2 linked regions of the Drosophila melanogaster genome follow. The protein of the gene in region 1 interacts with the protein of each later gene in a pairwise test. Each region holds a gene or a part of one and is shown on either strand. Other genes may lie near its edges.

Region 1 (3,969 bases):
CCCTTAATGCTTGGCCATAACCAAGGATTCTGCAGTGCAATTCGACAAAATTGTTTTCCCTTCGGTGCGACGTAGTGAAAATGTATTAAACTTAAATATTCATAAAGTGCAAGTCAAAGCCGGGCAATTCAATAAAGCCGAATCCATATTGAATTGACTGCCAGCGTTGGGAGATCTCCATAAATAAGGCATTCTGTTGCAAAGATTGGCACTTTATGTAATCCCAGCGAACAAGGCGTGGGAATTGACTTAATGTGGCCAGCATGGCCAGCAGGGCAGCATGGCAGCACCTTGAACTTCGACAGAGTTTGGCCAAGGACTTTTTCGGAGGGACGCTGACGCGGACAAGGACTCAACGGGTGGTCGCCTGAAGGAATATTGACGTTTTTTCAATTAAACCCGACCAGCAGGCACTTTGTCGGTGGTATTTATGGCGCTCGGTTAGTTCTATTTTTACGAGAGGGCGAACAAACAAATGGGTACCAGTGTCAATAGTGTAACTGTAGCTTTTCCAGCTGGCTAAATATACGCACAAATATACATGTGCGCATATATACGATATATATCCCATATCCTGTGGCAGATAAATAAGTCGCATTGAAGCTAAGCGGAAAAAACACGCGTACACACACGCACCGTTGGGCGCACATACACATACACTCTAACATATGTACACACGAAGACGCACGCACACACGTGCTTAGAAAAAGAGACATTAGAGAGTGTCTTTCGGGTAACTTTGTCCGTCTTTTTCCGCTTTTCCGCTTTTCTCAGCGCTAAAACAAGTGGAAAGTCAAGCAAGTTGGACACGCGCTAAGTTTTACAATTTCCCGCTGAAGGTCTTGTCGCCCCCTTTTCCGGCCCCGTCCACGCCCCCCGCCCTCGTTCAACACTCCTGTCGACCTGCCAAACAACTAACGCACATTTCCGTTTCCGCTTATGCCACAAAATGGCCAAAAGTGGCCTGGTGATTAGTTACGATTTTTTTCTGTTTGTTTCCTGCCGCTCTAACGCTTAATTTCTCTCCTTGTTGCCGCGCTGGCTCTGGTTTTTATTGCTTTCAATGCCTTTTTTTTTGCTTCTTGATTGCAGACAGCATCTACGAGGCGAAAACAAACAGAACGGCCGCCGCGAGTTTTTTGGCCAACGGAAGGGACTCGAGCAACCGACGCAACAGACGACTCAGGGTGGACTGAAAATCACTTTCTCTTCTCCCGCAGCAGCAGCGCAATTTCTGCAGCCAGCGGAGAGAAAGCCTTTCGCCGTGAAGCAGTGCGCACTGCTTGCTGCACGGTGGGCGCCAGAGATTTGAAATTCTTATCTGGATTTTCAGATTTAGTACATGAAGCAATAATTGAAATTAGTTTCAAACTGATATAATAAATAATGTTTGAATATATACATACAATTTCATACCTTCTATTTTTTAGCCTTAATTTTTGGCCCAGGGAACTTGGCATGCTTCTATTATAATTAAAGAGTTTTACTGCAATGGATATATTCTAAACTATAATGGTTATATTAAACAAATAACAAAGCTAGCAATTTCAAAAACAAAACACTTAACAGACATTTTCGTTAAATATAAATATTTGCTTGGCTGGAACTTTCGTTAAAACTGATAGGTTCGTGCATTCGCTCAGCGGTGGTAAGAACACTCGCTAAACGTGTGAGCAGCTCTGTTTGTGTTCCATCTCTAGTTCAACAGCTGTTCAAATCGAGTAAATCGTAATTGCTCCTTGAATTTTTTTTATTTTTGTGGGCAACTCCTGCATTGGAGTCGGCGGTTGCGTAATAACGCGCCTCTTCCTGGTTTCTGGCTGCCACTTGGAGTTACAGTATGGCGTTGGCGCTGCGCGTTGCCCGATGCGCCGCGATTCCGGCCAACTGTTGGCCCCGCGATCGCCGGCGACTGTTACACCTGTGCAGCAGGTGAGTAGTTGACCCCAATTATCAGTCAGCATTAAAATTCAATTACCCAGCGCCAGCGATAAGAGGCCAACAGCTTTCTGCAGCAGGAACTACGCAACGAAGCCCGAAGCAGCGGTTCCACCACAAATCAAGCGAAATGTGGCCGCCGAGATAACCAGCGTGGGTAAGGTCATCTACGAAACGGGCTGGGATGCCAACAAGCCCATTGAAAAGCCAAAGGTCCGGCCCAGCAGCTCGTCGTCCACACAGCCGACGCCGTCTAAGAAACCCGAAGACGAGAAGCGCAAGGAGCTGGACACTGTGAAATCGAAACGGGATCAGATGCGAGACAATATGCAGGACTACATATTCACCCGGTACTTCAACTATGTGAAGAACTACGACAAAGTGCTCGAAAAGAACTTCCCCAAGGCCATGCAGTTGTACAGGGTGTTCTTCGATGGCGTCAAGGACTTTTTTGGCGACATGAAACGTTTCCTCAAGATTGCCCGCATTGCCAATGATTCGCCTCAAGGCATAAGAGCTTTGAATCGCCAGGAGCTGGAGCTGTACATGCAGATGCCAAGGGACATGATGAAGGTGGCACCAGCTCTGATCGGCTGCTCCCTGCCCATGGTGGGCTATGCGTTCTTTCCCCTCGTGTAAGATATGCCCTACTAAACACTCTTGCAAAATTTGGTATACCGATTTGTTCTTTCGCAGCTTTTATTACCCCCGCTCCTTTCTCACTGCCCATTTCTGGACTCCGCAGCAGCGCTCCGAGTTCCAGAGCTACTACATGAAGCGGCGATTATGCAATAACAAGGACGTCTTTCGCTGCCTGCAGGACAAGCTCAAAGCGACGGCATCGCATCCCAAGCACTCGGCTTTTGCTGACATCCTGGGCCAGCTGGGCAGCGGCACACACCCCACGCCTGAGATGCTCATCGATGTCAAAGACATATTCGCCGAAGGACCATATTCCCTGCTGGGAATGTCGCGGAAGCACGTTGTACGTTTAATCTGACACATTTTATGCAGCCTAAAGCATATCACTAATGCATACGTTCCAGAGAAACCTAGTCAACCTTCATGGACTGCCCAGTAGCATCTTCAAGCGACATCGGCTCCACGAGCACGCCTTCCTGGTGCACTACATGGACCAGGCCATAACCCGCGAGGGTGGCGTTCACAACCTGACACCGGATGCTTTGCGCTACTCCTGCTATCTGCGCGGATTGAATCCCGACAGCCTGAGCAGCGAGGCCATGATCGAGTGGCTGCGGAAGTGGGTCAAGGTGTCCACGTCGATACAAGGCGAACATATCACGCTGTTCCTGCACTTGCCCATCCTGCTGGGCTACAACCATCCCAACAACTGGAAGACCATCTACGGCAAGTGCCCCACTTGAGCGGGGTCCTCTGGTCGTTAGCTATTTGGTAGACTGTGCTTTAAAGATTGGACTGTTAAGATCATTTTGTTTCTTGAGAGCAAATAAAACCGTTAAACCAAAAGAAAGCTGGCAGTGTGCTTGTGTTTTTCCTAAAAATAACACTTTCTTTTATTTTCTCCATGGTGGTGGATGTTCATCAAGCAGTTACTTTCGTTAAAGGTAGTATTTTTTACTTCTTGGCCGCGGCCTTCTTGCCACCCTTGGCCTTCTCGGCACGCAGACGCTCGCGACGATCCTTCTTGAGGACGCGGGGAGTGCCGTCAGCCTTGGTGCGCTTCTTCAGTGTGTTGAAGGCGATGGTCAGCAGCTTGTTGCGCTGACGCTTGGCATAACGCAGCTTGAAGCGGTCAAAGTCGTTCAACGAGGAGCGCTGCAAAAGAAGACAAATTCTCATTAGTACTTGATTTATTCTGAATGTTTATGAAGACGCCTAGCTATGATTGTAATCAGATAAACTAGAATTAGCTTCATATATGTGTCAGCCGGCAATTCCTATCAAGAACTTTCAATTATCATCATGTGCAGTTCAAGGAGGTAATCAACTAGGCAGAGAAGAGGTATAACATTTTCCCCTCTACATAGGTAAACTTTCCTACAGCTACGA
Region 2 (6,764 bases), on another chromosome or scaffold:
AAAACACAAACACTAAACATTTCAGCAATTCAATCATTCACATATGTATGTATTTATATTTCTTTTTTGTTGCTATTTAGCAATTATGCACGAGTTATCTCACGGTCAACTGGTTTTTTTCGAACGATTTTTTATTGTATTTTATACGAGTCGAATTTCGCATTGATGGAAATGCAAATAAACGCGCAGTGAGAAGAGAACATTTTCCGGGCCCCACAGCAAAAGGAAAAAGAAAATTCAAAACGGCACGCGACGCACGAACTTAATTATTTACTACGTGTGTGTGCGTGTTGTTGCACAACTACAATAAAAACTCAAAAAAAAAAAAATTAAATAAAAGCAAACAACAACGATCCAATGTCAGAGAACCACCCACACGAATTGAAAAGTCAAACGGACAAATTGAATTTCGGCCTGCAATTTACGCTTTTAATTAAATCATTAAAAGGGGGCACAAAGATTACGATTACGCCATTACAGAGCACACAGAAAATCAAGATCTGCGTATGATACCAAATTTCTGAGATTAAGTTGATATTTCATTTTTTTTTATTTTATTTTGATGGTTGAAAGATTGATATAGATAAAGACGTAAATTGAACTTTTGTTTCCTTAACATGACAAAGAAACTTGCAACCACTAAATATTTGTATATATTTTCAGTTAAATCGAATCACATGCTAAGTATATTAATAAAACGTTTGTCTTTGTAAAATCAACGAACTGTTGATCATCTATCCGTCCTGTTTTGCTCCCAGTGTAGCGGCAACAGTTGCACTGTTTGGTGTTTGGTGGCTCAAAAATGTAATTACGCACTCCAGTGCAAAAGCAATCGACAGCAAATTACATATTTGTAATGGTTTGCAATTGAACTGCTTTTAAAATTGAATAGCAATTAAATTGTTGCTTGGCAAACACGAACACACACAGCCCGAAAAAAAACCAGACAAACCACTACAGACAGACTCAGACACACACCGATAGAAACGCTGCTGCGCCGACGCAACTGCGCTGCAGAACTTCTCTTCCTCTTCTCCTTCTTCATCTTTTAATTTCTTTTACCTTTAACTATTATCTATTTTAGCATAATTTCATTCACACACCAGCTTTTGTTTGTATTGAAATTAGTCGCGGCGGCTGTAATTAAACAATGCGGTATTTCGAAACTCGCGCTGAGAACGACCGACAATAACACCAACACAGACAGGAGCGCGCCCTTCTCGCACGCACACAAATTTATTATAACACGTAAACAACAACGCCGCAACGCCGACGCAACTTATTTTTCCGGCAGCGACGCGTCCGCATACGTCCGCTCACGTTAAGTTCCGCAGAGAGAAGTTGTTGAAAACATAAACAGAATCACTTGTTGCACTCTTTGAGAAAAGTGGGGCTATTGCTGAAAAAACCAACTAAAAATATTGCAGGTTAGGGATACTCGCTCGATTGGCGTACGGCCACACTTTTGCGACTTCACTGTTAACCTCTACTTCATAGAGACTTTTACCCGATAAATGTTATGAGTTTGACTTTCTCTGTTAATCACAAGAAAAAATATTGTGGAAATTAAAATTATCTCAAATCAATAAAAAATAATAATATATACACCTATGTTTTATAGAAGTCAACAGTAAATAAGTTATTTGGAAAACCATTGTAGCCGTTTAAATAAATCTCCTTGAGTGTGTTTTAAATAACGGTCATTAAGTATATTACTTGGCCCTCTGAATTTCTTGAATTACACCATTTTTAGAAATAAATCAATCCAAAAGACTACTTTTTGGTGGCAAATGAACTGCATAAAAAGTAACAAAAGAAATATGTTTTTGAAATAACAGTATAGCTGAAGTGTATTAAAAAATACCGTCATATGAGCGACCCGCTGTTACCGCTTCGCTGCGAATGACAAAACGGGCTGAGCAAGAAAATGGCGTAGAAGGCGACGAAAATTCGTTTCACTCGTGAAGAAAACCTCGATAACTGAGGAATACAGCTGGGATTTAAAGAGCATATTCGAACTACAAGCAGAGATGTTTCCTGGTGGAAACGGAAACGCCGATTTGGGCTACAACAAGCATGCCCACGTCCATGGACTTGGACAACATGGCCATGGGCACAACCATAATCACAATCAGTTCCTGGCGCAGCCCCCACCACCCCCCACACATTTTTCACTGCCCTCCGGGGGCGGTCAGGGCATGGTGACGCCCATGGTAGCCGCCGGCCTGCCGCTCGCCATGCAGGGTGGCGTTGGCATCGATTGGGCGCAGCTCGCCCAGCAATGGATCCACATGCGGGACGCTACTCCGGTGCCCATGCCCCTGGCCCCTCCGCCGCCCATCATCAGCAATTTGCGAGAATACCACCAGCAGACGCTAGCAATGCCGGTGCCCAGTGTGGTCAGGGCGGGATTTCCGCAACTAGAGGAGCACGGCGAGGCGGATATGGACATGGACGATGAGAATGATCGGGGACATAGCACTGAGACACCCCCACCGCCAGCACCTTTGGTTACGCAATCCCAATGGCTGGCGGGCACCGAAGTGGCTGGTCAGATCCCAGACGCCTCCAACGGAGCGGGTTTGTAGAAGATCCAAGAAGATAGCACAATAAATCAGGTCAGCAACTAACCCTCCTCTCCGTTCCTTGCAGCTGTCACGCTGGGCAAGCAGCCATGGACCGGGTGGCAAATGCAGACCGACAAATCAGGCAATTCCACGGCGCATATACCATCTCTGCTGAAGCTGAACGTGAGCAATCCCAATGAGCCGCACCAACAGCTGCAGTTGCAGTTGCAAGCGCATCAGCAGCAGCAGCAGCAGCATGCTCCCCAACCAACGCATCCACACCATCCACCAGCACATCAGCCGCATGCACATCCACACCACCTAACACCACATACACACCTGCCGCCACAGCACACACAGCAGACGCATGCGGAAAGCGGAAGTAGCGGGGCTAGCAGTGAGATCGATGCAAACAAACGGAAAATGTTGCCAGCTTGGATAAGGTATGAGTGTGCAAAGAACCACAATAAGATGCACAAAAGATAGATACTTGTAATAATTTCCTTAATCTTTCAGAGAGGGCCTGGAGAAAATGGAGCGGGAAAAGCAGCGGCAACTAGAGCGCCAGCAATCCTCCATGACCACGCCAGATGTTGAGGTCAACCATGTTAAGCAAGTATCAAGCAAAACACTAACCACACCTGGTAATCTTTTGAACATCGCGAACGTGGTAAGTAAGGTCGATGGGCGGCAGGGTTAACTGACTCTCAATACGGACAGAAAAGTGCCGAAAGCGTAGCACACACCATCTCACACAAATTGGTTGCACAAAATTTAGACGGGACTGAACCAAACTGAAAACGATGTTTCGTCGTTGAAAGCACACAAAACTTAAAAACAATCCGGACAGTAGAGCAGACTGCAGGCTTGAGTGCAGGCTGTCGATTAAACATTCCCTTGAAATTCAGGCTAGCGACAGCGAAGATTCCATTGACGTGCCTGTGGAGGCGCGTGGAGAACTAAAGGTGCAGCAAATAGGTAATGAATTGATTAGTAAGGACGACGATCGAAGCAGCAGCAGCAGCGAAGAGCCAGAGTCGGAGCTGCATGGAGCCATCGAAACCGGCAATCGGACAGTGGCGGAGCACGTGAGAATGGCTACCGTAAACGATGTCAATGGTAAAAACTACGAAGAAAGACTGGCGGATCTGGTAGGCATCACCATTTGACCCGGATGTTTGCTCAGCCAGGCGATGAAATCGAGTGAGTCTCAGAGGCGAAGGAACTGCGGAATTCTGACAACACTTTACTGGCTGCTCTGCAGTTCGTTCACTCTTCACTAGAGTTTCATTCCCTGGCCATCGGCGGCACATCCAAAAAAAAAACCCATTTGTATAGTTGCAAACAATGAATATGAACACCCAATACCACCCATCTGTAGATGCTTGTGGTGCGTCGGACACTAACCGAAATCCTGCTGGAAACCACGAACGAAGAGATTGCAGCCATTGCAGGCGAGACTCTAAAAGCACACCGTGCGAAAGGTACATTATGCATTATACTTAAGTTTATCCCAAACCGATTTCTTCCAGCGCTCGCGCTCGTGTGTGTGTGTGTAAGTAGTTATAGATCGTAAGACGGCGCGGATATATCGCGGATCGATTGTAGCTTGGATGACCGGATGTTTCGGCCAAGCGATTGGAGTCGTGTTTTTTCCGGCTTCACAGCGCGTTACCAACTCTTTTAATCCTATGTCTATGCTAATAATCTTTAAATCCCTAATAATGAATTGATATATCGAACACCACACAAACCAATGAAATCACTTGCTGAATTTTTTAATTTTAATATATAATATATATAATTATATATATATATGTATGTATGTGTAAATCAAAAGCGTCATCAGCCCAAGTGATTCGCAAAAGCGCCTTGTCCTCCATTACCGGCAACTTGGGTAAGTAACCAAATTCCAGTTTAGTTCATACATATTCTTTGCACTATTTTTGTTCAGAGGTAGTCTGAGTTATGCTTGGTCATCCTGTCTTTCTATACCCCAAATCCTAATCACAAAACGAAAAGATATTACAAAGAATTGGATTACTCCTATGGCCGAGATTTAACATTCTATGCTTCCTGTAAATTTAAGCCATGGCCAAATGATTTCGACCCCCTCGGCGCAGTTTGGTCTTTCTAGCCCGCTTCTTCGTCCTTTCGCTTCCCCATTTCCCCTTCCTTTCACCTTTCCGTAAATTCTTGCGAAGATATTGAAAATCAGTTCAAAATATACCAAAATCTGCGCCCGATCTACATTGAAGCCTGGTAGCAACAATTAGCACTTGACTGATTTGAATTATAGGTTTAGCTGCCTATGGCGATTCTTCCAGCGAAACCGAGGATGATGAGGATGATGAAGATGAGCGTCAAGCGGGCGCTGGAAAGGATGCCGAAAAAAGCGCGCAGCTAAGCGCGGAGGAGTTGAAAGTAAGTTAGCCACACGTTCATTATCAAAAGATATCAATTCTCAATATTATTTGGCTTTTAGGCTCGCATAAGGCGCAGCAAACGATCCTTCGAGAAAGTCATTGACGACATTGAGGATCGAGTGGCCAAGCAAGAGCTGCTTGATGAGCAAACACTGCTGCGACATCGCAAGCGGGAGCTAGAACGCTCCGTAACTGGTGGTGGTGAGCATCGTCGACCGGCGGCCAATCCAGAACCGCCCAGTGAGTCGGCTAGTCAAGCAACCCAGGAAAAGCATCAGCAGTCAAATGGTATAGGTGATGCACATAAATCCAAAGAACTCCTAAGCATACATTGCCATCATTTAGGCAAAAGACTCAGTCGCAAGGAACGGACCACCCGCTTTAGCGACAACAAGGACGGCAAACAGCAGTCGCAGAGCTTCGTGCAACAAGTAGTGGCGACCGCTGTGGTGCCACCACCCGGAAGCCTAAGCAATAGCAGCCCACAAAAGCTGAAGCCCGTTCCCAATCCGGCCACTAATCTACTGCAGATGCCGGAGTCGGTGGCCACCATGCTGACTGCGGCTGACAAGGCGCTGCACAAGGCCAACAAGTCGTCGCATAAAAAAAGCAAGCGCCGCCACTCGTCCCCCTCGTCATCGTCTAGCAGCAGTGGGAGCAGCTCTAGCAGCGATAGCGACGACAGTAGCAGCACCTCGAGCGGATCCAAAACTTCAGGCAGCCGCAGCAAGCGATCCAGTCGGCATGGACACCGCAGCCACCACAGCAGCAGTCGGAGCAAATACGAACGTCGCGATCGCGACAGAGAAAGGGAGCGGGCGCGGGAGCGAGAGCGGGACCGTGATAGGAGTCATCGCCAGCATCGTAGTAGCCAGCTTAGTGGAAGTCACCACCAGAAACAGCGCCGACATCGCGAGTCCAGCCATTCAGGCGAAGATGCTGGCGGTAGCAGCAGTTACCACCGCTCCTCGCGGCAGAGCAGCAGCCGTAGCCATGATCATGGCAGCAACCGTAGCCATGATCACGGCAGCAGCAGCAGCGGACGGAAGCGGCACCGCACGAGATCCCGCTCCAAGTCGCGAAGCACTCACCACTCCAGCTCGAAAGCATACTCCTCCACTTCCGCGTCGCATCCGCGCAAGCGCCATTAAGAAAAATCTTGCGCGTAAAAATCCGAAGTTAATTGTTAATATTACATAATTATTATTTCTTCTGTTTAAGATGCTTTTTAGTAAACAGTTTTAAATCAGCCTAATAAATTAAAAACTCAGAAAAATTTGTTTTTTTTTCATGTGTTATGCGAATATCCTCATAATAATTAGATATATTTTTAAAGTTGGACATACGGGAATACGGGAATTAAGTTCCCAATAATACAAACAAGTAAACTTTTTTAAATTCAATAAATAATTTATTTTTTCTATAAGCAATAACATTTTTGCTAAATTAAGACTTGGTAATTAGGTAATACTATTGTTGTTCTATGGAATATTCGATCGAAACATTCTTATCAGTCTCAAAAACTTAAAACAAACTTATAATATAACCCATATGTTATAACCCATTGATGAACAAAAATTAGACTCTTTGGCCTTAGTCGACCTCCTCGACCGTGGGTCCAGAGTAGCCTCCAAATCCTCCCGCCTGCTGGCCGCAGTTTGCTCCCGGACCACCAGCTCCAGCTCCCGCACCCTGCTGATGCATCTTGGTCATGATGGGGGAGCAGTGGCGGGTGAGCTCCTCCAGCTTGTGGTCGAACTCCTCCTTCTCG

What was found. The genes of interacting proteins can lie anywhere in the genome.
Region 2: the proteins of CG5989 (region 1) and CG31211 interact in a two-hybrid assay, tested with the Drosophila melanogaster proteins (one large-scale study listed by BioGRID).

What each region holds. Positions count from the first base shown.
Region 1 is NT_037436.4:8,601,869-8,605,837, reverse strand, and holds CG5989 (uncharacterized protein), read left to right. Parts: upstream 1-1,688; 5' UTR 1,689-1,840; coding exon 1,841-1,932; intron 1,933-1,982; coding exon 1,983-2,573; intron 2,574-2,634; coding exon 2,635-2,923; intron 2,924-2,984; coding exon 2,985-3,323; 3' UTR 3,324-3,427; downstream 3,428-3,969. Other genes in the region: RpL14 (ribosomal protein L14), read right to left, coding at 3,535-3,735.
Region 2 is NT_033777.3:11,947,775-11,954,538, forward strand, and holds CG31211 (uncharacterized protein), read left to right. Parts: upstream 1-1,905; 5' UTR 1,906-2,030; coding exon 2,031-2,580; intron 2,581-2,652; coding exon 2,653-3,010; intron 3,011-3,083; coding exon 3,084-3,237; intron 3,238-3,475; coding exon 3,476-3,718; intron 3,719-3,948; coding exon 3,949-4,051; intron 4,052-4,407; coding exon 4,408-4,464; intron 4,465-4,866; coding exon 4,867-4,991; intron 4,992-5,052; coding exon 5,053-6,144; 3' UTR 6,145-6,264; downstream 6,265-6,764. Other genes in the region: Hsp70Aa (heat shock protein 70 Aa), read right to left, coding at 6,587-6,764.